Styela clava: one gene and its partners. The protein of the gene in region 2 interacts with the protein of the main gene of each other region in a biochemical or structural test. Links are inferred from orthologs where the notes say so. Each region holds a gene or a part of one and is shown on either strand. Other genes may lie near its edges.

Evidence for each region. The genes of interacting proteins can lie anywhere in the genome.
Region 1: the proteins of ubiquitin-like modifier-activating enzyme 6 (region 2) and ubiquitin-conjugating enzyme E2 T-like form a complex in vitro, tested with the Homo sapiens proteins (2 studies listed by BioGRID, with this or other methods). The link is inferred for Styela clava from reciprocal best matches to the Homo sapiens genes UBA6 and UBE2T.
Region 3: the proteins of ubiquitin-like modifier-activating enzyme 6 (region 2) and ubiquitin-conjugating enzyme E2 G2-like form a complex in vitro, tested with the Homo sapiens proteins (2 studies listed by BioGRID, with this or other methods). The link is inferred for Styela clava from reciprocal best matches to the Homo sapiens genes UBA6 and UBE2G2.

Annotation. Positions count from the first base shown.
Region 1 is NC_135256.1:5,895,816-5,906,348, reverse strand, and holds the start of ubiquitin-conjugating enzyme E2 T-like, read right to left. Parts: upstream 4,299-10,533; 5' UTR 4,037-4,298; coding exon 3,928-4,036; intron 2,399-3,927; coding exon 2,223-2,398; intron 1,445-2,222; coding exon 1,346-1,444; intron 1-1,345. UniProt on the Homo sapiens protein: Accepts ubiquitin from the E1 complex and catalyzes its covalent attachment to other proteins. Catalyzes monoubiquitination. Involved in mitomycin-C (MMC)-induced DNA repair.
Region 2 is NC_135254.1:14,428,099-14,438,591, forward strand, and holds ubiquitin-like modifier-activating enzyme 6, read right to left. Parts: upstream 4,611-10,493; 5' UTR 4,561-4,610; coding exon 1,405-4,560; 3' UTR 405-1,404; downstream 1-404. Other genes in the region: DDB1- and CUL4-associated factor 17-like, read left to right, coding at 1-31. UniProt on the Homo sapiens protein: Activates ubiquitin by first adenylating its C-terminal glycine residue with ATP, and thereafter linking this residue to the side chain of a cysteine residue in E1, yielding a ubiquitin-E1 thioester and free AMP.
Region 3 is NC_135261.1:20,876,832-20,887,201, reverse strand, and holds ubiquitin-conjugating enzyme E2 G2-like, read right to left. Parts: upstream 4,299-10,370; 5' UTR 4,075-4,298; coding exon 4,041-4,074; intron 3,084-4,040; coding exon 3,002-3,083; intron 2,196-3,001; coding exon 2,077-2,195; intron 1,227-2,076; coding exon 1,086-1,226; intron 710-1,085; coding exon 597-709; 3' UTR 87-596; downstream 1-86. UniProt on the Homo sapiens protein: Accepts ubiquitin from the E1 complex and catalyzes its covalent attachment to other proteins. In vitro catalyzes 'Lys-48'-linked polyubiquitination. Involved in endoplasmic reticulum-associated degradation (ERAD).

The sequences.
Region 1 (10,533 bases), on a different chromosome or scaffold from region 2:
AGCCGAATTTAATCGGGCAATATATTCTCTCATTATTATGTTCGAAGATGGCCGTGGAATTTTGAAGAAGTAATGCTTCCATCTTGTCGTAAGTCGACGCAACCCCGAGTTACCATGAACAGAATTAAATTAAAATAGAAAAGACATTTTAAATTCTCGTCGTTGTCATGGATTGAATATTGTGCGACAGAAAAGTCCATTATACACTAAAAAAAGTTGGCTCTTTTAACAAACGCGTAATTGCGGCAAATTTCCGATTTTGAAATTCGTTAAATTTCTGTTGTGTTTGGCTTGAGTCCGCAAAGGTTTTCGCCGGTGAGAAAAATAGTCCGCGACCAAAAAAGGTTGGGAAACGCTGATCTAAAGTAATCGTATTTTTACCAGTTATTTCCCTACAGCCCCCTATGGGGAGGGAACTCCACCTAAAATTTCAAACACCTTCATAATTTTATGGTGTGACACCATGCTTCAATTCTTAACGAAAAAAATATTGTATCTGAATATTCAGAAAGTGGGTTATATGCTGATGCAGATGAATAGTCAAATACATAACACATTTTTATAAGTTAAAAACAGTTTTATCACTGAAAAAAAAAATTTATCTACCACTGCCCAAGTTTGAACCCTGTACTGTGGAATTTACCCCAATAGAGTAAAACTACTGTAATCAGTACCGTAGTTTATTTTTTCGCCATACTGAAAGCACACTAGATATACACATTACAATGAATTATGAAAAAACAGTTTTAGGGTTAGAGGAACTGCGGGAAACCAATATTAGTTATTGAGCTACGTCACCCCTAAATTTTACTGACATACGCAATCGCCATAGATTAGGCATTATGGTACAAATTTAATCTCCAAAGTGAATGCAACCCGTGATTATGTCTAACAATAATCAGGAGAAAAAAGTAAAACATTGTATCATCAGTCAGTATGTCTCATTTAATCCCTGACTCGGTACAATCCTTGCATGTGAAATTTATCAACAAGAAGTAAACGGTTGACAATCACTGACATAGGCAAAGGCCACAGAGGCCTTGGTATGGCATATGATCAAGCCATCTTGTCATATTTCCTCTTTCAAGCAAATTGATTGTTAAAATATGATTGAATAGTTGAATCTGATGTCATTTCAATATAACCATTTCTAAAATTTCACTTTCAAATTTTTTATTCTGCTTGCCATCATCATATTCAATCAAAAATTATCCAATGCATTACACTTCAATTTATATTTCAGCACGGTGATTTGTATATAATATACATAAATTTTTAAATATAGTTTCTTAGTAAGAATTAACAATACTGAACCTAATTCAAAATCTTTTTACATTAAACTTACTATGTCTGTCATCAGAGGATCATCAGGATTTGGTTCTGCCATCAATAATTGTATCGTTATTAGAAGAGATGAGATGTTGAGTGATGGCTTCCATGCACCCTGAAATTAAATTACAAGTTGAGAAAAAGAAAATTGAACTTACTACATCCCTGTGAAATTACCAATTTGCCATTTAAATATTGTGTTACATCAACTAGTAGAATATATCAATTTAGAACAGTGGTACTAGAATGATGGGGCGCGCACCACAAGCTTATTAGCTTATGAAACTTATTAAAAATAAAAAATTTGTTAGATTTGGATATTTACATTTCTTTATTGTTTGAAGATTGCGATTCCATACACATATTTCAACGTATATTTTGAATAAAACATACTTTCGCCTTACTATTTGTTATTTATAGCTCATTGTTAGCTAGTTATATTTGAGTAGGGCGCGAGACTTGACAAATTATTAAAAGCTAATCAATTAGATAGAGAAGGGTGAAATGAAGCAAAAAGGGTGACCATATAATAATTAGAAATAACTATATTACTTCTGATATCGAAAAAAAAATATGGTTGTGATATATTGATTGCCTCTCTTCATGACTTGTGTATATGGGAAAACAGAATATATTGTTTATTTGTTAAAATGTAGAGGAATTAAGTTAAGCACAAGTTAAAAATATTCACAATTCCAACAATCATAAGGCAATGCAACATTTTTCAGTATATATAGTAGCCTACCCATTTTTAAAACTGAAACCATAAATTTTAAACCTTTCCATCCAAATTTCCTGCCTTTCAAAAACACCTTACAAAATAGGTTATACACAATGTGGCATTGCTTATTTCTGTACTAAAAAGTTGGATGAGCATCCTCTGCATATATTACCTGTGGTGGCATTTTCAGTGAGTCAAGGCATATTCGTCCTCCATTATCAATGTTCGGATGATATATCGGAGTTTGAAAAATTACTTTTGGAGGTTCGAATGGATAACGATCGGTGACAGTGACTTGTAATTGAAATAATCCACCATAGTAAGGCGTCCCTTCACTCCCAATGATTTCTGAATATAAAATATCTCAATCAAATTTGATCATGTTACAACAATATTTCTACTTGATATGGTGTGTTATTTGATATAGTCTAGATCAGGGGTTCTCAACCTGGGGTTCACGAGAAGATTTTCAGGGGTACTTGGATGACAGTCGAGTTTTTGTATGTTGCTGTTTTTTAATATCCTTTATTACTACCATTGGAAAATGCGTGCCCATTGAAACTAGACGCCAATCGAAACGTACCGTAGATTTTCCCTGACCTTGCGTTGTTGTGATTGTGACGCAACAATGTGAAATTCAAGGCTTTGCGTACAAACTGTGAAATCTTTAAAGACAGCGTGCTGCGAGCATTGGAGAAGTGATTATGCCTATTGAAACTTAAAGAGAGATTTTAAGAATTCATTAGCTAGGCAGACGATAAGGGCAAAAATATCAACTAGACGATTTAATTTAGTTACATCTGGTCAATAAATTGGTGTTACAACAAATTGTTAGACAATATATCAGTATATCACAACTTTGTTCGGTTCCGATTGCTGGGGTTCGCGTTGATTGTTTCGTGACTCAAGGGGTACTTGAGCGAAAAAAGGTTGAGAACCCCTGGTCTAGATTAACAAATAAGTTACCATTCTAGCTAGAGATGCATGTTTTTTTTAATCATAGAGATGATGAGAGAGAAAAAAAAAGTTTATATTCATCCTCGTAAACGCAGAGCTTAATGAAAAGCGTAAGGTTGTGTACACAAAATGATACAGTAAGATATCTATATTGTCAATTCGAGGAGACTATAATCAGACGGTGGCTCATTCAGATGAAGTGTGGTATGGGAATAGCTAACTGCACAGTACTTGTGCCAGAATGTCTGAAAGCATGGCTTTGTCATTACCCAGTTTACTGGCTTCTTGATATTAGGCTTAACAAACAAAACCTTGATTAAAATTGTTCGCAGTAAAATGGTAAATGTACTGCGAGTACCGGTATAAGTTTAATAGACTACTTCTGTACGGGTCTCATGTAGTTTCTTACCTAACATACTTCTAGTGGGCGTAGCATGACAATTTTTTCACGTATCAATCCTAACCCCCACCTGACTACATCATCTAAAAATTACGTCATTACGACGTCACAGTGACGTAATAGAGCCCTTCAAACTACACGAACTGCCATCCAAGACGCGCAAACGAGCACCCGAAATCGAACAGTTATTTCTCTCGTTTTCTGGTCGCAACGATTCCAATAGGAGAGAGACCGACAACGTCAGTCAGTTCTTTGTCATCGGCGCCAATGCCATTTCGGTCGATCGTGCGCATATTTGGCAAGCTCTATGACGTGATTGTGATGTCGTAGTGATTTAATTTTTGGACGGCGTAATTAGATGGGGGTTAGGATTGACATATCAAAAAATTGTTATGCTACGCCCACTAGAAGTACGTTAGGTACGAAACTACATGAGACCCCTTCTGTACTTACTTATAAATAGACTGGGTTGAAGTAAAATAAAAAATTATATTAAAATATGAGATTAGACTTCACTCACGAGCATGCAACAGATCTTTATTTGTTTCATCCTGATTGCACGAAACTCCTGGTGGTGGACTTTGTTGCAACATCTCCAATTCCCTTTTTAATCTCGCTGCCTTCTGCATATTTCAAGTTTTGTGAAGAAAAATCTTCTTCTTTACCGCAAAATACGGTACGGTATCAGTGCCAAACGCTAGATTTCTCAAGCGAAATCAGCCTCCAAATTCACGAAAAAGTAACCAACCTCTATTGCTCAGGAACAATCCCAATCACCTACACAGGAAGAACAGCGAAATGCTTGGGGTCAAACCAAGATGACATGCCGCGATAAATTTGTTTACATTTACAAACAGGGCAGTCACGTGACTAATGTACATGCATGGCATTCAATTCAATTCGTTTATAACTCCGGAAGTCCACCCTCTGTGGTCCATATAAAAACAACACAACAAATAAACATAAGCAAAACAAAAATAACGCAATAAATACATAAAATACCTGATATGAAAATCAGATTCACAGTAAGTCTCAAAAAAGAGTTATAATACAGCAATTTAATGGATCAAAAGTGATAGGCCGCGAGCCGAGGCCATTTATCTTTCAGTTTCGTAGCGCACATAAGGTAACTACCTGAAAATGATTTTAAAATGTTCCCCAGTGGTCGAATGAATATCAGATGTACTACTACTGCTCGCTTTTGCGTTGAGTAGCCTTTCCATAGTTTTTTTCAGTTATTATTAGTTCAGTTATTCTAAGGAGGTGTTGAAAAGTATAAGTAAGATATCAAACACTTGTATATCCTTACCATAAATAGCAATTTTAGTTGAGTTAAATAGTTACGGTGTCGGTAGTCGTTGTTAAATAGGTACGGTGCGGTAACTCCAATGAAGGCTAGACCTAGAATAATATGTCACAAACAACGATATTTTCTGGCTTGCATGAAATGTTTATGATTAATTTAATGACTCTTCTTGACTATTCAGCAGACTTATACTACTATATAGGCCACAGCATATTTGGAAATAAAAATTAATGGCTGTTTCTGTAATGCACGGTTGTGTGAAAAAGAAGAAAATAATCAATTTTACTAATGTCGGTTGGTCTAAATCTAAATTCATAGAGGCGACAAGAACCTGGGAAGCAAGTGGAAAAAAAGTAGCATTGGAAACGATTGAGAGGTGAGAAATCAAGTTGTAGACAGACAGTTGATGTTTCAAAATATAGTCTATAGGCCATACTCTTACTGTCATAGGGCATTTCAGCAGTGATATATCAAAATTGAGTGTAGATATAGTCTAGTAATGGTATTCAAACACTGCTGGACTGTAGTAGGCTACATGCAATGAGCATATATACGCTCATTGGAGACATCGGATAAAATGCATTATGTATTCAAGGTATTAGTTAGTATTTAGTGGTATTTTTACACTCATGCTGTTCCAAATATGATTTCCTCCCTCATTTTAGATACTGTACTACAAAAGAAAACGGCAATGTTCCACCAATCCGACCTAACGCAGGCTCTAATCCCGGCTGCTATCAGTGCTATAAAATGGATTAAACAAGAAGTCTTGAAGCGTAAAGGTATATGAGAATCATAATAGTTGCAAACAGCTTAGATGGGCTATTCATATTGAAATACTTTAGCACTTTTCTGCAATTGGAATTGCCCATCAATCTCATGTTGGAGACTTCATTGAGGTTTTCAATTCATTTTTTTCTCAACTATGCAGGTCTTATGAGGTTAACGAGGCATTATTAAATAAAGCTGAGGAATTTGTTTGTTCACTGTATGAAGAGGATATGGAGAATGTAAATGATACCAGAGCACGTCTATTTAACACTGGCAAACATAAGGATTATACTCTCCACCCAACAATGATTTACTGAAGAAGCATGTGGCCCTCAAATCAGTTCTTGAGTTGGCAAACTGCAAGTGTAAGAAAAATAGTCAAAATAATTTATGCAAGTGTGCCAAAATCAACTTAAATTGCACAGATTTTTGTTTTTGTATTGACTGCAAAAATCACAGTACACTTATAGAGGAAAAGTCGATTTTCGAGATAGTGGATTTCGAAAACAATTCAGAAGAAAGTGAATTAGATATTGCAGTTGATTTAATGAGTATCATTTATTTTGGACATTTGTTAGTGTCGTAGTCCTGTTTCTAGAAATAATATTGCCTTTGTTCAAATACATAACCACATAAACTAAAAAAAGACTAATTGTAATATTTCTGTTCACCATGTTATGTACATTCATTTAATTTTCTTGACTTTTCCGGTAAATTTCTAGGTGAGAAATAACTGATTTATTTGTGTTTTCGTGCTCACGATGTTAATTTGTGACTTCATTCCCTAAAAATAAATACGTTTGATAGCTTCTATAAAATGGATGTAGCTTTTTATGCTGTTCTTGTTGTAAACTGCTTGCGGTTATTACATAAAATTTATTCGCTAATGTGAATCAGCGTTGTTGGTGTCGTTGCTTTCGAGGTCACTCGCGACTCCTGTCACACAATTAAAGTCTTTTTTGTTGTTGGTTACATCAATGACATTAAACAACATGATAGGCAACTCTGACGTCACTCCATAAGACTACATGCGAAAGATTGTATTTCATGATACGCTCCAATGCACATATTTCTCGTCGCCTTTCGCGACGGTTTTCCGCTTGCTTTTGCTACTCGGCGTCTTTTTTACGTGTAGTACCTGCCTTTTTGCGCCTGTAACGAAAGAAAATAATCTCTATATCTGAGAAGTTTTGCTCATTCGGAAAGCTGGAATGGCAGACAAGCTGTAAAGAGTAATTCTGAACATCATAGACGTTTTTTTTATCAGAGAATATTACAAACGCGATAGCGTAAAGATTTGTGTAAAACATTTTGCAGATAATGACAAAGTTCAAAGTTAGTAATTTTAATGTTTGCGCTTGAACATTGAAATTTCATTTAAAGAGGGTGTCATACAAAACAGCAAAACTGTTTTTACTTCTCTTAAAGGTGCTGTGATACAATTCCATAACACAAAGTTTGCACCTATCGAACTTGTTTTAGTAGGTGAATTTATTAGACATATTACATATTCAATTAATCGTAGGTAACATTACTGGTACACAATGCCTCGTAGATAGGTTTGTGTCTAAATTTAGGAATTTAGCTCATAGCCCGCTAATTAATATTATCTTCTATGCAGGAGATTGCAGGGCTGATTCAACTTGCAGCCTTACCAATCACCTGACGATGCTCATTTAGTTTGTCTCGAGCAAGTCTTCTTGAAAGACTTGTGTGAATGGAAACTACCTATATGTTTTGCCTTCCTCCGATTTTAGAAGACAAATTCAATCTGAGGAATTTTGCATATAATTCTCATTGATTGTTGGCTGTTTATAATTCCTATTAAATGTGAATTCTGATTATATCAAAGAGTTAAACATTTTTTACGTAATTTACGGGCACTTTTTTCTTTGTCAATACTCCAAGCTGAGGTAATAAGCAAGACAATACATTCATGTCATCTGCAAGCAAAATGTACACACTAATTAAAAGTTTGACACATTGAGATAATACATCATGACAGAAAATACAAAGATACAGTATGTATGACCATCACATGGTAATTAAAATTAAAAAAAATTAATAGAGGCTGTGGAGTATGAAAAGTTCAAGACAAAGAAAAGAACAAAAGTTCATAGCTCATGAACTCTCAATTCTGCCTCCATTGCTTTGTGAAGGCCAATATATTCCGAGTGGCTGAATTGGTTTACCTTTATGATAGCAACGGTTTTGTATTTAATATAGCGAGATTTTTTTTCAATTTAATTGAAGTGATATTATTTCCCAAAGCAATGCTTGAATCGTCTAGAATAGATCAGTGGTGTCAAACACATGGGTTTCGAGAGCCGCATTGCATGTTGGAAATTGTAAAAAGGACCGCAAACAGTTTTTGATAATGTATACTCGAGAGATATTTTTCAGATAGTTTTAGTTTGTGACATATATTGTGATGCAACTAATCAGTTGGATTAAGTTTTATTATTTTCTTTAATTTCAAATGCAATTACATATTATAATTTGCATTCCACTATTATTGCAAGTTACTGTATTTATTACAAAAAATCATAAAATTCCATGTACAACCATCAAAATCATTTTTGAACAAGCCTTGGTTAAGGAAAGAATAATATATACACTAAAAATGACTTAATCTAAATATATGAACCTAAAATTAACAAAAATACTACAGTATAAACTCAATGTTTTTTTAATTACATTTGTCCTGACGTTTGGCATCTTCTTTGTGTCACCAGCATACTAAGGCCAGGCTGAAATGATTTTATAGTACCAACTCTAATTAACGAGGTCACATGATCATGGGTTAATCTGTATCTTTGCAAAAGTTTAATTAATTCCAGTAATGCAAAAAAGTTACTTTTATCATTTCATGTATAGATCAGTAAAAAAACAAATGACAGATTTTTTCGACAAGACATTTCACGCTACATTGCATGGCATAGGATTGCTTGAATTATTATTGATATTGATTTTTAGTAACTAAGTCGTTGTATACTTATATTAATATACAAACACATGGAAATTTTCTGTTCGGAGTTGGTCTTCGAATTTGTCATATTGACTGCTGAGTGCTGAGCTTATTGTGTTTTTCATTGTACTGATGGAAATATGACAAATTAAACAATGTGCTTCAGAATTTTGTGAAATGCAGAAAATTTTCTTCGAAAATGCCACCTTCTTCGTGTACTTTAATTTAATCACTCAAGTGTTTTATTCAGTATTCTTTTGCTAGCTTGATGTGTATTCTTAATTGAGTCAAAATGTGAACAAAAAAAAATTAACTTTCTAAAACTACTTTCAGTAAATTGTTTTCTGTGTGAATATTCAATTTCACTTTAAAAGGTTTGGAAAATCTTTCACATTTAAATAAAAAAAATTCCAAAATACTATTACAATTATTGTTAAGCGTTCGAGGGCCGCACTGGAAGTTCTCTGGGGCCGCGAGTTTGACATCCCTGGTCTAGATTGAAGTTGTCCAAAATATATAACATTATTTTATCATGAATCATGATTATACCCTTTTCTGAATTTATTCTATAGTACTACCAAAATTTGATGAATCAAATATAACACAGGTGTAGACAGTGAACCGTAATCCTCATTTTTCAAAGCTGTTTTAAGTATGTCTGGCATATTTTGTGCCTTTTTACAAAAAAGACCGCTTATGCAATCTTACGCTTTGGAATTTTTAGTTATTTCCCTCAAGCCCTGCAGGATGTAGGGGCCATACACAACTTTACCGGCGGGTCAAATGTCTTTGCATTCCTCCATAGGTTGTTCTTCTATTGCAAACATTTATGGAGTATTCTAATCATATTTCTTGGAATCAAACTGTCACTGATATGTCGCCAGACTTCTGATATCTCCCCTTCAGCTACAGTTGTCCCGTGAATAAATAATAGGAAATTGAGGTTAGACGAATAGTTGAAAGTTTTGTTTTATGTCGGCCTAATTTCTTGATTGATATACTCACTATTATTGCTATTGCCTCTTGTGCTGCAGGAGTCTCACAATGCTTAGACAGGTCTGTCCACAGCTTTCACATCTGTAGGAGAGGAGATGTATTAATTTTCGTTAAGAATAAATAAAGCAGTCTATATGATTCAGAATGGAAAAGCTAATAAATCCAATATCTTATGTTTTTTGTAAAAAATGTTTTACTGAATTTGGTATATAAACCAACTAATAAAGGGGTTTAGTCAGAAAATTATAAGCATTCGTGGCTCCAAATACTTGAGAGATCAGACTATACAATATAGACCGGTATGAGTGAAATTTTAGGTGAACTTGTTAACCCGTTGATTCAATACGCAAATAAAAGTGAATGAGCAATAGTATGTTACAGCAATAAGTATATATCCTCACTGATTAAAAAAATCTAAATGGAGGTGCATGAACTATTTGAAACCATAAGGGGTAAGTAAATATGCAATTTCGGCAGATGGCCAACTAAGTACCGTACTGAATTAAAACTTCGTAGTATTTGACAAAAGCTGGCTTTCCCGCATGTACTTAACAGTGCGATGCCCGGGTGTGTTATACAACAATAGTATTTACCTTACTTTTTTCCGATTTATTTTTACCTTCAATTTTCCACATATCATTAAAAACCACAACAATTGTCGAAGCAGGCTCGAACACCATTCGTGCTATGCCTTGAAAGCAACACACATCCGCTCGTTTTCGTCTCGTCAAGTATGTGCATTGGAGCGTGCTATCGAATACGATCTTCGGCCAAAAATGCCGGAGTTGCGCATCATGTTGTTTAATGTCATTGGTTACATGTATGCCATATTTTTCGTAATCTACCTAATAAATTATGATTGACTGAGGAAGTCCGATTTTGGTCAGGCAAAACATTACAGGAATACATTTGTGTTAGTGTGCTGTAGGGCTCTCGAATTGCATACTTCTTATGTATGTGTTGTAAACTTATGGTTTTTGAATTTCCGGGAACCTCTTATATTCAATTTCGCATCAGGATTGTGGAACAAGCTGTAATGCGTCCAGTATGTTCATTTTCACACAAAACTGAAGAATTTATTTAGT
Region 2 (10,493 bases):
TAAAATTATGAGGTTTTGTCGGAAATATTGAATTATTTTTTATAATATTATGAATTCACTGTGATCATTTTTAATAAAACGGACGTATGAAGGCGTTGCTCCGTAATTATCTGGGCGACAATTGCTTCGTGGTATATTTGATGTTTCGGTTAGCGATTTGAATATGGACTCCAAAAGAGTTACCGTAATGGGGACTGGAAACGTTTAGGTGAATTTTAAATAAAGCGGTGTAGATTAGGACAAAAGTGACCCATTTTCTATTGGACCATGGGAGGAACGAACATAGCACGTTGATGAGAAGAATATCCTCTCTCCCCTGAGAAGATTATCCTAATAATAGTGAGTCAAGTCAACTATTCCAACAGACAATCCCACTGCAGATGACACTCATTTAAATATACATGTACATTCTCAGACTTGTGCAAACAATCATAAAATGCACATTATTTATTCAACAATTGTTCAACGCATAATTCACTTTTTGATAAATGCTGAATTGGACAAAAAATAATCAGCTGGTAATTGGAAAACGTGTCAAGTCGAAATAAAAATTCTTGAACTTGATATAAGCATACAAAAAAATAATTTTATAATCGTGACTTATAAACATGGATGATAAATGCAAATACATCTAATACGAGCCATGATAAACACAAGTACAGTGATCGATTTGCATGACAGCAAGTATAAATTAACACAAATAACTGCAATGAAGACACTGGACAGCAAGAACAATTATATGAATAACAGATTTATCATAGGATCTGCTAAAGTTCACCACACATTAATCCCAGGATGTGATGTCATCAAGCCAAATCCATATAGAGCTTGGCTGTTTATTTGAACTTGCATATGTTTCATTTCACAATAAGGTGGCTACTTATCCACAATCTTTCAGTAGCTAAGAGTTATTCAATCAACATTTGTATTATTGGGAATGATAATTTTTTCATATTGCATTCTCAAAAACCACTACAGTTGACCATACAAATATTGGACCAATTTGTATATATTCAAATGAGGCAAATCAATTTTGACCACCAATACATACACCAAAGGCAATCGGCAGTCTAATTTAAAATCATGGTTTTGATCCTTCTTTGAAGTCACTAATATCGATTATCAAATATTGTAAATCAGTATTTTTCTTTATGCAAAATTACATGGATTACCAAAACTTCTGTGTGTATGAAAAAACTATAAAGAAGTCAATTAAATCTTTTAAATATCACTGGTGTTTACAGTCTATAATATAACAATGACACTAATCGACGAGTATAATATTAAAACAATTATACTATTAAAAAACAACATTTGAAAATCATACGATATATATATAGTGCAGAATAGAATAGCTTGAATTGTGGGACACAAAAATTGCAATAACACTCAACAGAATGGAAATTAGAAATAGTATCTAATCGGTGGGCATGACAAATCATCTGAATCATCACTCGGATTTTCAAATGTTGCCGTCAGATCAACATACAGTGTATTTTTGTCTCCAATTTTAATGAGCTTTGTCATAAGGTGATCCAATCTTTTTGAATGACCAGGCATGATTGGTATATAAATCATTCTTGAGCCATGTACAACTGCTGAAATTGTGAGATTATATTTCTCATGAAAATGCTGTATGAAATCTTTTAGTTTGAAATCCTTGTTGCCACGAATCTCCCATCGATCCCAAACACTGAAGGAGAGATCTTTAGTTAATTTTGTTTTTTGAGCAGCAGCTGGTTCACTGAATAACACAAGCGGTAATGCAAGGTTTAAAAAGCAATTACGATATTTAGACAATTCTGTTTCAATATTTGAAGCACAATTTGACCAGTTCGTTCCATTTTTTTCATTATTAATGAGCTGTATTACCAATTGCAGAAACTGTATGGTCGCAAAACCTGAAACGGCAGTAGTGGTGGTAGATATAGCAGGTATGATTCGACCTGCTATTCGCTTTATTTCAAGACGATCCACATTTTCAATGCCATACATTTTAGCTCTTAGATTGGCAGCAGAAGAAATGAAATCAATATGGTGGTTCGAATCATCATCTTTTTCAAAATCTTCTGGGTATAACTTGAAAGTGAAATCACTACGTGTTTTAGCAGTAAGCATAAGCTTTTGACTTAAATCTTCGGGTGAATCTTCATCTGTCTTAGTTGGTGCTGGGGCTTTTTCATCAACTACAACTTCCTTTGTACTTGGTACCCAATCAGGCACCACTGTTTTTTCAATAGCATCGGCAATGCTCTTGGCAATCTCTTCTTGACTAATGGGACGTTGCACACGATATATAGCAGCAATTAATGATGCTGTACTAATGACGAACTGCATATGGAATGGGTCTTCGAGATTGAAGATAATCGGGGTAGGTGGACGTTTAGGTAATGACCAGAAAGGTGATCCATCCTGCAGCATAGTATCCAATGGAAAGGCTTTTAATAAATCTTTTGCTTTGTGATTAAACAACTTCTCAAACTTTCGTCTTGCATAAACGACACAATCAAACCAAGTTGTTGGTGCTTCAGATAGAAGTCTTAAGGTGACAGAGGCATCTCTTAAATTATTTCCTGACATTAAATACTTGTTGACCAATTCTATGATGTTATCTTTGTTTCCGTTTTCACGTACTTGACACCCTTCCCAAAAATTGTTGTACGTCATTGGTTTTTGTTTAAACATGACTTCAAATTTGTCTCTCGCCCATTGTATTGTATGCTGAATGTTTGAGGGGAATGATTTCAACGTACAAAAAGGAAATTCAACATCTGCTGGATCCTGCTGTGATCCATAACTTTCCGTTACAAAAGGGGTTATGATTTGCACATGACCTTTCGGTCCCATCGTCCCAGATTCCAATAAAGGACGTTGATTTGCAACACATCTTGTATCCATGTACCTTCTTGCTGCCACATTATCCAAAGCGTTGACTACGATATCCTGACTTTCAAAAAAAGCATCATTAAATACATTTTCTGAATCGGGTTGAACTTTGTATTGCAAAGGCTCAATTTTTATGTCAGGATTTATTTCCTTCACTGACAAAGAGGCTGCAGAGCTTTTGGATTGTCCTACATGGCGACTATGAAATAGAAATTGACGATTCAAGTTTGACTTTTCAATGACGTCATTGTCTGTAATCACAGCTTTCCCATTTTCAGTTGAAACTCCCAACAAAGCAAAGTTTTTTAACATTTCACAGCCAATTGCTCCACATCCAACCATAAATATGTTTAACTTCGCTAAACGTGCTTCCACTGTTTCACCCAAACATGCTTTCACATCACTTAAATCATCTGATTCCTGCATTTGTTCGGGTGTGAGATGAAGATTAAAAGCCAGCTCAGTTGCATCTAAATACAACCATTGCTTTAATGGGGTGTATTTACCAGTTAAAGCCTTCAAAACCTCTTGTGCTGCAATACCACCAATCGCAGTTGCGAGAGGCGATAATGCTCCTCTACAAGTAAAAGAAAGTAATTGAACAACTTTCTTGGCATTTTCATCATTTGGAATATCAATTTGAAACTGATTCACTGTATTGGTGAATAATGTAAACAATGCTTCAGCATCATTTTTGTTCCATAGCTTTGGTAAATTACCATTGGATTCTACAAATGAGTTAAGAGCTGAGAAAGCTGCATGGGAAATAGCAGGGTTATCCATCTTCCCAAAATCCGTCAACAATATGTCAGGCTTTAAGAGTTGTTCATCTAAAGATTGATGGGATATCGTAGATTTTTTAGTTTTTTCTTTTACCAAACCACCACCTTTGTACTGTGAATAATCACTTGTATCCCCAATTGTGAATTTATATGGTGACACGACCCGTACTTCTCGAGTTTGTCCATTTAGTTCCACCATTCCTTCAACTTCAGAAAAAGAAACACTGTCACCATCTTCCAATCCATGTAACTGATCCTCTAAGCACGTTACAGTGCCTTCACTGTTTCTAGTAATATCTCCCACAAACATTTCCTTCAAAGTTTCTCCTCTCGAATCAAGAATCTCGAAATTTTTCCCAAAGTTGCAGAACAATGATGAAAATACACCATAAACATTGCAACTTACAAATTTTAACTGACCCATCAAATTACAACTCAATTTATCGAGATACTTTTGATGAGGCAGACTACGTTGGGTTGCGATTATGCAATCAATATTTTCGAGAAATTTTGTAAACTCTTTGTGAGAATCAGCATCACCCAATGCAGCATTTTCAATATGAACATCCGAAGTTGAAACTTCGACTTGGACGTAAGGATTAAGTTCTGCAAGGCGTGGCACACAAGCTTCTGCTCTCGTTTTCTTATTTTGCAAATCCGACTGACTGACATAAAAATTGTTTCTGATATCCCGTTTTGTAACAAGTGAACTATCGGCCACATACAATTTCCCTATTCCAGTGAGAACCAAATTTTTTGCAACTTCTACGCCAAGACAATCACATCCTAATAAAAGTACATTTGCTGATGCCATTCTCTTCATTGCATTATCACCTAACATATAGCGTTGCCTGCTATATAACGAGTCATCAATTTCCATTTTGTCAGCCATAATTACCAAAAGGAGCTATTAAATACTGTAAAACAATTTTAATGAGCTTGAAGCATCTATTTTATTTCTTTAGTTAGGAAATTAGACTTGGTTCATTAAATGAATTTGGAAATCAATGATATCATGAAGAATAAATTTGAAAATCCACCCTTCAATTTTTTTTATATTATTTACGAAATGTTTTTAAGAACTAAAATTGCTTTGTTTGATCATGATATTCTATCACGAAAACTTGAATCAATAAGCTGTTAAACATCCATCCATAACATTTGAAATAAAAATTTATTCCAAGATCAGAAGATAGAATTTCTAACTAGGTATTCATATTAGTAAGAGTCAGAGAATAAAACGAGCAATAAGTTTCACAGTAAATTATGCAATGAATGGTTTTCAATGCATTTCCGTTTTCATTATTTGAGTAAACACAAATATTTAGATTTCAAATGTACAAAATATCAGTCAACAATAGTAAAAAATTATAAAAGCATTTTGGTATTTGTATCTACAGGTATATGTAATAACATATTAGGAAACCCACTTTTCAAATAGCAAAGAAATCATTCTTTCGATAAAACATATGGCGCTCCTGGTCATTTTGAATAAAAACAGTATTTCATTGTATTATGTGTTAATCTAATGCCCGATATCTGGATATAGTCAATATTTTTTATGTTTTACTTGTTTGTTGCTTATATTCCAGTATTTGTTTAATAACGATTGAAAAAATACAGAATATGTTATTTGTTTGATATTCTAAATCAGTTTATTAACATTTCAATATCGAGACTGCTACACTTGAATTTTTACCTTATTACTGTACTGTATTATGTATTGAGCCATACCAGCATACTGCCATAAAACTGATAAAGGTTAAAGACGCTCCGGATGCGCAGAAACTCAACTTAAACAGTTCTATTTTCCTTTCTTTCTTAAGTAGAAATTGTTTTAATTCAGTAATTTGTCTAATTCAGTAGTTAGACTCAGCTATATTTATGGCCTCTGCACCATGATAAAAAAAATACTAGATTACAAAGCATACGCTGAGATATTGAAAGTTACTGTACCGTACCTGTCTGCCTGTACAGTTCTGCCGTTGGCTGCGTAATTTATTTATTTGAAAGATTTGACTTTTCATTGTTTTCACACGGGGGTAAAATTCCTGTTCGATGAAAATATAGCCTACCAATCCAAGAAATCAAAGAAACAGTCGTCCAAAGTGACGTCGCCAGCAAAAGCGGAACAAGTCTATCTATCTATCAAGTCTGGTCGGGAGCATACGCTTTGGTAGGGAGTGGCCTATGGCATGGGTGGGCAATTACTTTCCAGAGTGGGCCGAATGCGGATAATAGACTTGGTTACTGGGCCGATATGATCGATGATGATATCGATATGATCAAAATCAATTAATGGGACTTCATTAAAGGGGTTGGCAAATTACGGCAGCTGCACAGAGAAAGTTGATAGAAAGAGATTCTCAACAGGTCGTGCGGAATACTTGCGAGATGTAATTCACCGGAATATAGTTTGCCGATTTTCACGTTTTAAATACCCACGTCATGCTGAAGAAAACAATGACCGATTTTAAATTTATTTTGCTCACCGAGTATGCGCAATCGCTCCTCCCTCCCCTATGGATTTTTTGCCCATTGTGTTATGCGTTTCGCGGCATTTAGGAAAACACGAAAAAATTTGCAGGCCCAAATGCTGATATATCGGGAGCTAGAGTTTCTGAATGACATAAATAATTTGGATCGATGGTTTTGTACATTATATTCAGTACTGATGATCCGTGAGGACTTACGTTATTTACTTTAGCCGACGATCCGTTATTTCATCGATATTTTAAACGGAAATTTATATCCATAAAAACAATATTCATAATTTCAGCAGGCACAAGTGGTCCGGATGAAACACTCCAGTAGGCCGGTTCCGGCCCGCGGGCCGTAATTTGCTCACCTCTAGCCTATGGTGTAATATAATATCAGCAGTGCACAAAAGTCCGAAACGACGGAAAAGGTTGATACTGAAATGAGGCAAAAAATTAAATGCCTGAAAATTGAGAGAGAGAAGGGAGGTTCATGCTTCTGCCTAGTTTTATCAACTGCCATTTGTTTAAAATGAAAATCTTTTTTGAACTCATCTGTCCTTCTACTTTTTGAAGCTGAAAATGACGCTAATTGTTCATTATTTCTTGCATCGCTTTGTTTATAAAAGCTGTAGAACAGTGGTTCTCAACCGGGGGCCGAAGGCCCTCAAAGGGGCCACGAAGCAGCTCAATTGGGGCCATGGCACAAGGATAAAAACTGATCATAACGCAACTTCGTTTGCATCCTCTCCTTTTAAAATAAAATTCTCCGTTCAGGCTTTCAACGCAGTTACATTGCCTAAATAGGTCATTTTGCGATCACAGGATGTGTTCACTTTCTTGTGCGTGAATTGTCTACTCTAATATAAATGGAATTTGGAATCTTCTAATCAAAATAGTCCGCCGGTAGCAGGGTTGCCATATTGGCTTTTTTAACCGCATTTTTGGCTTTTTTCAAACACGTTTGGCGTCTGAATTTCCGTTTGGCTTTTTTAAGTCTCTTGGAGTGTCTATTATTAAAATCATATGAAATACAATATTTAGTGTGTAACAATAGCCTATTGCTCAGCTACATAACATTTGGACTTCCCCGAGTATCGATCGAATTTATATACGCCACTACGGTATTGAAGGGAGTTCACTCATCCTCATATCATGGCGTCATATTTGAGTGGTCGTCATCAATGTGCTCAGAATGGCGAAATTGTCCCTGAAATGCGCTTCATCAAATGCGGAGTTCCAAAGGTTTCACAATTTAGGCCGCGAGCCGAGGCCCTGAAAAACGCCTAGAAAGTAAGTTTCGTAGCGCACATCAGGTATAACTACCTGGAAATGATTTTAAAATGTTCCTTAAAAATTTAGTAACAAATATTGCCTTGTTCCCACTTCCAAAAATTGCACGTTTTACGGAAAAGACGCTTTCACTACAAGAAATATGTGCTACGATCTGTCCTATATTCTCTACATTTTCGGCAATGAACAATGACTTCTGCATGACGTAACAATCGAATCGAATCAGCTGTTAGCGAGCGGGTGAATATTAGTTATTACTGCTCGACCTTGCGTTGGGTTGGGCAGCCTTTCCATAGCGCTGTTTAGTTTTTATTGGACACGTAGTGGACATAGCGATCGTTCCAATATTATTTTGTTGTTGTTCTTTGTGTCCTTGTTCTTTGACACGTTTTGAAGAAATCGCTTTTCTCTTCGAATACTGGACCAATGGTTTTGAAATTTTCAGTGGTTGAAGACAATAATTTTCTCCAGAAGGCTCTTACTTTTTTTTCATCGTCATCAAAATTATTCCCACTGGGTAGCGCTACGTGTCCATATATTTGAAAATAGCTCTCTTGTTAGTTAAGTTATGCTGAGACGTTGTTGAAAAATGTATAAGTAAGTTATTAAACACTTGTAGCTCCTTACCACGGATATGGGCCGTGAGACGAAGTCTTGAAAACGTCCAGAAATGAGTTTGTAGCGCACATCTGGTAAATAAATAAATTCTTCAGTTTTGTTTGAAAATGAACTTCAGCTTGTTCCCCAATCCTGATGCGAAATTGAATATTAGAGGTTCCCGGAAATTCAATAACCATAAGTTTACAACACATACATGAGAACCGACGACTAACGATAAGAACTTCCCCGTCATTGTCACAGCATTCTTTTGCAGACAAAATCAAACGCTGCGTTGTTTGCCCGCGGCGTAAAGAAGCACTCCAGGTGTCGTCGTATTTTATTGTTTCCCGGATACGAGATGAAATACACGACTGCACAGACGCTCCATCCATTAGCCTTGACTGCAATGCGCCGTATAATACATCCACGTGATAGAATATTGTGGAGAAAAAATGAAAACTCACCATCTTCTAGCAGACGCTTTAGACCTGCCGCCTCCCTCACAGAGCGTTCGTCCCAAACCGGAGAGCTCTGAATGCCATTGAAACACTCAATGAGCTCAGACCTAATTTCGGACACGCCCTGCACCACGCGTGATTGGAAGTTCTAACGTGTTGGTGCACAAGCTGGGAGACGGCGGCTACATATCTGGCGAAGGAGGTCAGAGCGCTTCGGCGAAACGGGAAAAAAATGAAAAAAACCCGAAACATTTGCAAAAAATATACGGACGAGAGGGGTATCAAGACACATATTTTTAATAACGAGGTTAAATTGGTGTGCATAACAATGTAAAAAATGCGCATGAGGAAAATCTTCTTTTATATAAACTTGAACACCATGTTTCGACCCACTCATGACTGCCGCGCCGTCTTAAGTTTGAGCAGTTGTCTCGTCAGACTGAATCGAAAGGAACTGGCAATTCTCAATTTCCAGAGCCAAATGTTGTAAATAAATTTTATACATTGAGTCGATCAAATCATTTTGGATATCCTCAGATGTTCCTTTCGAAACAGTTGCGGCATCAAGATGATCTCTCAATACTGTATCTAGGGATGCGGTGTTTTCCACCATATCCAAAAATACCCCTATTAGAAGAGCCAGCCCGTTCATCGTGCCCACGGAGGGACAGCTCGTGACAACAAATGAACTTCAAAACATCTATCAATCGACGGAGAACATGGCGGTTTTTCTCGACGTTTTGGTTGTGCCGACGAATAGAAACCGCGCGTCCTTCATCCAACTGTGCTGCAATATTAACATTTCCGAATGTTCGGTATTTTACTGCATTGTCCAGATGCTCCATAGAAGATTGATGATCCCTGGCACGCTCGGAAAGATGTTTAAGATCTCTAAAACCAAATTTACACCAACGTGAGTCACGGGCGGTAGCAAAAAGTAGGCAATAAAAACAAAAAAGTGCATTTTTGTCCTCGCTGTAACACAACCATTCGTGTTTTTTATACCAAGTTTCTGCGCAGAATGTACGCCGACGCGTTCCTCCGTCATGGGATTGTTCCAGTGAACAATTTTTTGGTTGATAAGGCCTAGGACGTTGTACCTCTAATTTTTGTTCCAGCGGCAGCTGCGAAAACGGAGTGCGAAGTAGTGCATCAACCTTATTCATTATGAGGTCTGAGGCTAAGAAATGCGAAGCCGGAAAGAAATGAGGAGCTCAAAAGGAATGTGGAAAATCGAAAGCAAATGGACTAAAGGTCTCTAACTGATTCAAATAGCGAAACAAGCGACAAAAACGAAGGCGAGGAAACTATCAACTCTTAAAGCAACCAACAAACGAGAAGGAATGCGTGAATATGTCAACACGTTGTTGTAAGAAACGTCGGCATTGTGTCGTCATAATTTCGGGGCTAGCCCCGATGATTTAGTAAAAGAAACAGAAAACAAACGAGACAAACGCGGCGAGTGGAAGATAAAAGAGAGAATACGATATACAATGAGCAACCGGGGCAAAATCGGCGTCGCCCCGTCGACGTTCGGCGAAGGCTTTGCGAGCGAAAAATGAACCATGTCGGGAGAATATGGCTAGTGTAGACAGTCTGTGCAACCGATATTGTGGTATTTTTAGGATAGGATAGGATTTACATATTTATCCCGGGGGAGAGGAAAGCCGATAAGACGGCTTATCCATATGGCGAACCACGGCCTCTCGTCCGGTTACCATTCCAAGTCGGGTATGGGATTAGATTTACTGTATTGTTTGTTTTCGGAAGCATGGACTTGGTGGTGGAGGAAGCCGTAACCGACCAGCGGTTACGTGAACCACCCAACGACGGCGAGGAGTCCAGCAATCCTCTCGCACATAACCATCCCTGCATGGGATTCGAACCTGCGAACCCACGCAGAGTAGTTAGAGGTGCGGTGGCGAGCGTATTCCTAACGCTTAGCCCGTTGAGCCATACCGCCGCGCGGAATCATTTTTCGAATATTTTTTATTATA
Region 3 (10,370 bases), on a different chromosome or scaffold from region 2:
AAACTTTTATGATGAACATGAGAACACTAAACTGGTCTTCTTCCATTTACCAGGTGCCAACCAATAATTGAAGAACTGACAATGAATCAAATGCTGGAGGACAATGTATTTACAAATTCAATCAATTGCACTGGACATATAGTTGGATTTAATAGAAAACGAAGAAGGCATCCAGTGTATGTATGCAAACCATTGGGTATAAATCCGATGTGGTACGACAATTCAGACACAAAATAAATTTAGATAAGATAACCATGTAAGCATGGTGACAAAATTCATTAAAACTGATTGGAATAAACGTCGGCAAAGTCATGGATAGATATTATATAAATGTGTCCCTTTGCCATTCTATGTAATTGAAATATCCAACAGGAAAAAAATAATATGCCAAGTGCTCTGGCAACATCGCAATAAATAGAGTCAGAAGTTGATTATCATTAGCGCCGACTTGTAGCCTTTTGAAATGTGTAACAACAATCTTGAACTGGAACTGAATTCTTCTGTACATCTTTGTTATATCCACAATTCATCATGATCCATGAATAAGTATTGACAATGTTCAAAGATCAATATTGTACAAATGATAGGTTTTTTAATTAAAGACCCAAAGATTTCCTTACAAGGTTCTTCGCTTTTTTATTGAATAATTCTCTATTATCTCTCCACATTTTCGAAGCATCAACATTTGCGCCAGATTCAGGATTGGGTTCTGTGTGCCAATAAGATATATTTAAAACCGAGCATTTACCACTTGACAATTTTAAGAAATACGTGGTAGAATGTTATGAAACGAATGCAAGTTTTTATTAGCGCTACAGAACCATTGGAATAAGTTTAGTATAAAATTGCGCCTCTCTTTAATAATTTTTTAAGCTAAGGTATACAAGATTTTGTGCAGTTCACAGAAAATGCAGGTAAATAATTCCATATAAGCTGAAATACCAATGAGAAAAACAACAAACAAGCATGTTTAAAACTTAGGGCTCCATTTTATCCCCGATAGAGTTCTGATTAGAAATCTGTGTATGTGAATAGGATAGTTTACATGGAGATAGTGTTTTGAAAAATTGATTTGAACAACTCACCAGCAAGCATGCTTATTACAGAGAGCAAAATTTTTTCAACACTTTGAACAGGCGACCATCTTTCAGCACTTGATTCATATCCCATCGGGTCGTCACCAGGGGCGTGCAATATTGAAATGCAAACTCTTCCATCTGGATATACTGTTGGAATTGAAAAGATTAAGAAGATATTTCAGCTTCCAATTATTAACAAACAAATTATGACGTGATTTAAAAAAACTTCTAGTTTTGTACACGGCTGGATAGCTGGAATAAAATCACAGTTGCTCCGCTCTGCAGTTTTGTTTTTATAATCTCAGCCGGGCTTCGACTCCATACCTAATGAGGTTTTTAACCAGTGTGACCACTATCATGAAATATTTGCCACAATGCAGTTTCGTGGAAGCTGGACTCAAAACTATGATATACGGGTTTCAAAATCAAAGTGTTAAATATATAAATTGACAACTTGAAACTCTCAAATCAATATTGTACGTTGAAATTTATAACAATTCAAGAGCTGAAAAGGATAGTTTTTATTATTTGTATCAGAAAATTATGAACGTTCAAAATAATTAGATCGTTAGGAGCTGGTATCCACTAAATCCATTTCTGGTAGCTCCAGCTCCATCTAACATGTTAGCTTGGCTCCAGCCCGACCAAAATGTCAAAGCCCCAAGCTACAGGCTCCGAATCAAGCTCACAGCCCTAGTTCTATCACACAAAAAATTGATTTCATCATACAAAATAATTTTCAAAGGACCAAAATATGTATAGATGCAAAAGGACTACACCACTACACAATTACCAGATCCAGAGGTAACTAAGTTTTATGATCAATAGAATACCAACCATTCTCTGCTATATAACATTTGCATGTGTAGCCTTGCTGTAAAATTCATAGTGTTATGTTATTCATAATAAGGTAATCTGGATGTCTAAATTGAGAAAGTGAATTAAATATATATAAATTGCACTTAATGATTATTAAACTGATATATCAAAATCTTACTGTTTGGATGAAACATATCACATGTAAATCGCATTGTAGGAGGACTAAGAGGATAATCTGATGGAAAAGTCATCACAGCTGAAAAAACTCCACCTTCGAATGGTGTGCCTATTGGTCCCCTATAAAAAAAATAAAGCTTAGTCATACTCTGGTGGTATTATTTTAACTCGTAGCTGAAGTGTTAGCAATGAGTTGGTTTCATTGCATTGTTCTGCATTAGGAAAATTGTCAGACCGATTATGCCATGTTGCGCTTTTTCAAGAAGTGTACTCTAAGAAGAAGTCTTCCGGAGATATGGGCAGTCGCTTCCAAACATGGCAAAATCAGTCAAAAACCAAAAATGAAGGGCTCAAAGAATAAATACAGAAAGTTATGTTGCATTTCTATTTATGGCGAAGTTGGCTAAACAAAAAATTGTTGGACTGAATACAATTTTTTGAACATTTAAATTGGGATTACAAGTTCAGTCAAATTCAAATTGGCAATAAATATATACAACTTTCATTTTGGTTTGTCCATTTAGGAATCTAAGATAAATTCATATCAAGTGATTTAGTGAAGTCGAAATTTTCAATTTATATAGAATGTATTTGTTTTCACATGATGTATGATTTGAGATCATGGCATAAATGGAGATTTCTAATGAGATATTCAACCAATTTAGAGAATTAAGTTATCAGAAAATCTAAGAATAAATAACAAGAGTAATTTTGAGTATATTAGTTTCTGTATGTTCATAAAAAAACATACTTTGACTTCGAGAAATACTTAAGCTGAACCTATGTTTTAAAACTATGGGTTAAAGTTTCAATAACTTTCTCTTAGTTGGGATGTTCCTGCTACAAGAATAAAAGTATTTTGAAGCATAGTATTTTATACGCTAACCAAAGTACTGAACAGACTGAATATAAAAATGTATACGTACATTATACAAGCATCCCATTCAAAATAGTTGCTTTCTTCCTTTGGCCCAGCAACAATTCCTTCCGGTGCTTGTGTCGCCAACTCTAAAAATGTATATATGCATACATGAAAGTATAAACTTTCAAATATATTTCAAAGCAAGAATGTATAAGTAAGTATATTTTGATTTCCCCGCCAAAAAAAATCATACACAAAACACAAACAATGAACACACAGAAGATCGGGAAAATCGGGGAAACTGGCAAAACCTTTATAAAGGTTCAATACATGTAAATATACATGCGCCAGTTTACTCACATTCAACACACAAACATATATGCAAAATAAAAATGATAAGACACGAATGGGTATCGTTCGGGTTTCAAACATAACATAAACACTCGGTGGGTCCCAATTAATAAATACACTTTGATAAATACACTTTGATAGGATGGAATGCAAGGCTATGGTATGTGTATCACAACAGTGCTTTTCCTACAAAAATATGGAATATACAACACTCGTTGACGTAAAATGGTGATGCTGTAGTTCAATTCCATTGCAAAAATAACACAGTGACAAAAAATTGTTACTGAAAAAAAATTAGCTCTGTAAATAGATTGCATGTTTCATAACACTGTAACAGTCTATGCACAAACATGGATCGGGATATCGGTTTTTTTTGTCGTATAATGCTGTAATGTCAGAATCTGCACAATTTCAACAAATGGACCGGTTCCGGGTACCGGTATGGCCGTACGTATTTACTGGCACCGCAATGCAGTTCAAAATAAAAAATCATTCAATATTCATCTATTGAATTTCACCAATTTTGTCACTATAGGTACAGTGATTTAACATCTAACTTAATGGAAACTGGGATGATATTACTATAATAATGCAAAGTTGACGCCTCTCCAAGCCATGTACTCAGGTTGAGAAGCATATGCGGCAGTACATACAGTACCGTATTTGTGCAATAACGTACCAGTACCGATATGGTACCGGTACCGTACCGCTACCGGTACTAAATATGAGATTGGAGTTACTTCAAAACTTACGTTTGTATTCAGCCATAAGTCGTTTTGCTGCCATCTTGAAATTTTAGTGTGACCCTTATCTTCGAAAAAATATCTTGTTCAGAACACTAAATAATTAAAACTTGAGTAGTCTACGAGTATCCTATCCCAACTCACTGAAACTGCAATCGATAGATCTGTAGATCAAGAAATAAAGGCGTAGCACGCGTACCAGTATCGGTACTGAAGTGACGGAGTGGAGGTGCAGGCACTGTATAAATTTGACGGGAAGCTATACGACGCGGTGCCTAAAATGTGACACCTCAGTGACACCAATGACATATAACAACATGATGCGCAACTCCGGCATTTTTGTCCGAAGATCGTATTCGATAGCACGCTCCAATGCACATACTTGTCGAGACGAAAACGAGCGGATGTGTGCTGCTTTCAAGGCGTAGCACGAATGGTGTTCGTGCCTGCTTTGACAGTTGTTGTCGATTTTAATGATATTTTTGAAAGTAAGGTAAAAAGAAATCGGTAAAAGGTAAGGTGAATACTATTGTTGTATATCACACCCGGGCATCGCACTGTTAAGTACATGTGGGAAAGCCAGCCTTTGTCAAATACTACGAAGTTATTAATTCAGTACGGTACGTAGTTGCCCATTTGCCGAAATTACATATTTACTTACTCCTTATGGTTTCAAATAGTTCATGCACCTCCAGTTAGATTTTTTTAATCAGTGAGGATATATACTCATTGTTGATTGCTGCTCATTGTAACATACTATTACGCATTCACTTTTATTTGCGTATTGAATCAAAGTGTTAACAAGTTCACCTAACATTTCACTCATACCGGTCTATATTGTATAGTCTGATTTCTCAAGTATTTGGAGCCACGAATGCTTGTAATTTTCTGACTAAACCCTTTTATTAGTTGGTTTATTTTCCAAAATTCAGTAAAATATTTTTTAAATAAAACATGAGATATTGGATTTATTAGCTTTTCCATTCTGAATCATATAGACTGCTTTATTTATTCTTAACAAAAATTAATAAATCTCCTCTCTTTCTTCAGATGTGAAAGTTGTGGACAAACCTGTCTAAGCATTGTGAGACTCTTGCAGCACAAGAGGCAATAGCAGAAATAGTAAGTATATCAATCAAGAAATTAAGCCGACATAAAGCAAAACTTTCAACTATTCGTCTAATCTCAATTTCCTATTATTTATTCACAGGACAACTATAGCAGACGGGGAGATATCAGAAGTCTGGCGACATATCAGTGACAGTGTGATTCCAAGAAATATAATGCAATTGAAAATTGCAATAGAAAAACAACCTATGGAGGCATCCAAAGACATTTGACCCTCCGGTAGAGTTGTGTATGGCCCCCACATCCTGCAGGGCTTGAGGAAAATAACTAAAAATTCCAAAGCGTAAGATTGCATAAGCGGTCTTATTTGTAAAAAGGCACAAAACACGCCAGACATACTTAAAACAGCTTTGGAAATGAGGATTACGGGTACCTCACTGCACCTGTGTTATATTTGGTTCATCAACTTTTGGTAGTACTATAGAAGAAATTCCGGAAGGGGTATAATCATCATTCATGATAAAATACTATCATATATTTTTTGAACAACTTCAATCTAGACCAGGGATCTCAAACTCGCGGCCCCAGAGAACTTCCAGTGCGGCCCTCGAACGCTTAACAATAATTGTAATAGTATTTTGGAAGTTTTTTTTTTATCTAAATGTAATAGATTTTTCAAACCTTCTAAAGTGAAATTGATTATTCACACAGAAAACAATTTACTGAAAGTAGTTTTGGAATATTAATTTTTTTTGTCCACATTTTGACCCAATTAAGAATACACATCAAGCTAGCAAAAGAATACTTGAATAAAACACTTGAGTAATTAAATTAAACGCAAAGTACACGAAGAAGGTGGCATTTTCGAAGAAAATGGGAGTTGTAACATTTCTGCTCTTCACAAAATTCTGAAGCACATTGTTTAATTTGTCATATTTCCATCAATACAATCAAAAAACACAATAAGCTCAGCAGTCAATATGACAAATTCGAAGACCAACTTCGAACAGAAAATTTCCATGTGTTTGTATATTAATATAATTATACAACGACTTAGTTACTAAAAATCAATATCAATAATAATTCAAGCAATCCTATGCCACGCAAGGTAGTGCGAAATGTCTTGTCGAAAAAATCTGTCATTTGTTTTTTTACTGATCTATACATGAAATGATAAAAGTAACTTTTTTGCATTACTGGAATTAATTAAACATTCGTAAAGAACCAGATAAACCCATGATCATGTGGCCTCGTTAGTTAGAGTTGGTACTATAAAATCATTTCAGACTGGCCTTAGTATGCTGGTGACACAAAAAAGATGCCAAACGCCAGGACGAATGTAATTATTAAAACATTGAGTTTATACTGTAGTATTTTTGTTAATTTTAGGTTCATATATTTAGATTAAGTTATTTTTAGTGTATGTATTATTCTTTACTTATTCAAAGCTTGTTCAAAAATGATTTTGATGGTTGTACATAGAATTTTACAATTTTTTATAATAAATACTGTAACTTGCAAATGTTGCAATAATAGTGGAATGCAAATATTAATATGTAATTGCATTTGAAATTGAAGAAAATAATAAAACTTAATCCAACTGTTTAGTTGCATCACAATATATGAGCTATGTTCTATGAACATTTGTTCTTTTCTTTGTCTTGAACTTTCCATACTCCACAGCCCCTATTAATTTTTTTTAATTTTAATTACCATGTGATGGTCATACATATCTTTAACTTGTATTTTCTGTCATGATGTATTATCTCAATGTGCCAAACTATTAATTTGTGTGCATATTTTGCTTCCAGATGACATAAATGTATTGTCATGTTTATTACCTCAGCTTGGAGTATTGACAAGAAAAAGGTGCCAGTAAATTAGGTAAAAAAATTTTCAACTCATTGTTATAATCAGAATTCACAATCAATAGGAATTATAAACAGCCAACAATCAGTGAGAATTATATGCGAAATCCCTCAGAATAAATTTGTCTAAAATCGGAGGAAGGCAAAAAATATAGGTAGTTTCCATTCACACAAGCATTTCAAGAAGACTTGCTCGAGCCAAACTAAATGAGCATCGTCAGGTGATCGGTAAGGCTGCAAGTTGAATTCAGCCCTGCAACCTCCTGCATAGAAGATAATATTAATTAGTGGGCTATGAGCTAAATTCCTAAATTTAAACAAACCTATCTAAGATGCATTATGTACCAGCAATGTTACCTACGATTAACTGAATATGTAATATGTCTAATAAATTCACCTACAAAAGCAAGTTCGATAGGTGCAAACTTTGTGTTATGGAATTGTATCGCAGCACAGTTTTGTATGACACCCTCTTTAAATGAAATTTCAATGATTAAGCGCAAACATTAAAATTACTAACTTTGAACTTTGTCATTATCTGCAAAATGTTCCACACAAATCTTTCCGCTATCGCGTTTGTAATCTTCTCTGATAAAAAAAAAAAGTCTATGATGTCCAGAATTGCTCTTTACAGCTTGCCTGTTATTCCAGCTTTCCAAGTAAGCAAAACTTCTTAGATATAGAGATTATTTTGTTTCGTTACAGGCGCAAAAAGGCAGGTACTACACGTAAAAAAGACGCCGAGTAGCAAAAGCGAGCGGAAAACGGACGCGAAAGGCGACGAGAAATATGTGCATTGGAGCGTATCATGAAATACAATGTTTTGCCTGTAGTCTTATGGAGTGACGTCAGAGTTGCCTATCATGTTGTTTAATGTCATTGGTGACACTGACAGAAGAGGGGTAGGAAACAGTTCGAATGGGGCTCAGTGCGCAATTTGGGATGAGTCACGGACTAGAGATATTGCATAACCATAATGACATAACAACATGTTGTCAGGTAGCACTTTAAATGCGGATTATGGCATCACTAGATTTTTTTTTTTGATGAATTTAGGATAGGATTTACATATTTATCCCGTGGCAGAGGAAAGCCGATAAGACGGCTTAATCATATGGCAAACCACGGCCTCTCGTCCGGTTACCAGTCCAGGTCCGGTATGGGATTAGTTAGCCAGTTATTTGTTTTCGGAAGCATGAACTTGATGGTGGAGGAAGCCGTAAACGACCAGCGGTTACGTGAACCACCCTACGGCGGCGAGGAGTCCAGCAATCCTCTCGCGCATGATCATCCCCGCATGGAATTCGAACCTGCGATCTCCGGAAGGGTAGCCTAATCAGAGATGCGGTGGCGAGCGTATTCCTAACGCTTAGCACGATGCGTCATTCCGCCGAGCCGGATAGAGGTTGGTAGCTGAAACGTCTCGTTGCGAGCAATCCCGACTGTGCGTAAGGCGCTGCTCATTTCTCTCTCGAGTCCATTCATATTTTTTATTTAAACATTTCTCCTTTGACTTACTCTCTCTATTGGATTTACTTTCCTGAATTTCCGTCTGAATGTATTAAAATCTAGTTAAAGCGTAAATATATACACCTACCTGACTTGAAGTTTGATGACATTAGAGAAAATCTCGATGGATTCGTAGGGAATCAAAGTAGTAGAAACTCCACTTACAAATTGGTTCGTCCTGGAAGTAGTTTCGTGATCAAAATAATTCGTAAGTAGGAATGCATAATACCCTATAGATGCCTCAATTCGTTCGCCCCCTCCCCCCCCCCCCCCCACCCATCAAAAAAATCGGAAATCATATTTGTATAAAATATAAATAAATGTTAAAACCTCTAACAAATACATGTTATAATAGATTAATGCATAATAAATTGAAAAGGCACACATGGAAAAAAGAAAGAACGACCAAAATAACGACTAAAAACTACGAACGGTAGCGTTGGCCGCCTAGGCTGGGCAAAGCGAAGATCGTGGTGAGTGGGAGGACGACAATCGCAGAAGGCGGCAAGCGGCTGATAGCTGAGGGGAAATGTGTTGTGCAAAAATGAATACACACACTAAATTCAAAAAAAAAAAAAAAATTCCCTGAATTTCGCTAGCAACTGAAAATGAGTGAGTCGCAATGTAGGGGAGATGTGGGACCTGCGATGCAAGGGGACCGATGCAACAACGCCATTTCTCGACACCTAGTGGTCGAATTCTAATTTCAATTCCGCCATGGCATCGAGGTTGAGTCGTCTGCCGCGTTTTCCAGTTGTAGTGTCGGTAGCCTTTTTCGTTCTTGAGTAACGGTGGTAAATGTGTTTTTAGATAGCGAAAAAAATCCCGGGCAAGCGTTCAACCAATATTTTTAGATACTTACAACAAGACTGAGAGGGTAACAGTAAATAGGTTTTAGAGGTCGATGTTTTACCTACATTTTCCGGTTGTATTGGTAAGCAAATGCTGTGTTAGTTTTACCACAGAAAAAAATGGCGGGTTTGGGACCAGTGAGACAGCATGCGACGGGACCTATAAAACGCTGTCTCATTGGTCCTCCCCAACAAATTATATCTTTCAGCAGCAATATAACTGCAAAATGCCCACTTTTAAAATTAGTAAAGGTTTGAAAGGAAAGTACACGAGAGAAGTTCTAAGCGAAGCCGTTAAAAAAGTTATTGCCAATGAGGGCAGTGTGAGAAAAATTGCCAGAGAATACAACCTTTACCATACGACTCTTGGTAGATATGTAGATGTGGCAAGACGTCAAGGTTGCACAGATATTTTAAAAAGGTCCATGGTTACAAAACAGGTGTGTAAATTTTGTAGAAAGATGGATGTGAGTTGTATTTATGTATGAGAGGATTTAGTACAATTGTTTGAACTCATTTCAGGTTTTTACGAAAGATGAAGAGGAAGCTTTAGCAGAATATCTGATTCAATCAGCCAAAATGCTGCATGGTTTAACAAAATTTGAGGCTAAGCGAATGGCATATGCGTATGCGTTGAAGAAAGGAAAAAATATTCCTAGCAGTTGGAGCAGGAACGGTTGTGCAGGTGAGGATTGGCTTAAAGGATTTCGGAAGAGAACAGGGAACTTGAGCCTTCGCCAGCCAGAGCCAACAAGCAAGGCTAGAGCAATGGCTTTCAACAAGCACAACGTTGGAAATTTTTTCGATAACTTAAAAGAATTGTACATGAAACAAGGACCGATTTTACCACAAAATATTTGGAATCTGGACGAAACAGGCATTAACACTGTAGTTAAAACCACGCAAGTTCTCGCAGAAAAAGGAAAAAAACAGGTCGGACGCATAACATCAGTGGAACGCGGCGTCACTGTCACAATGTGCGCATGCGTGAACGCCATAGGAAACGCATTGCCACCGTCATTTGTCTTTCCTCGCGTCCATTC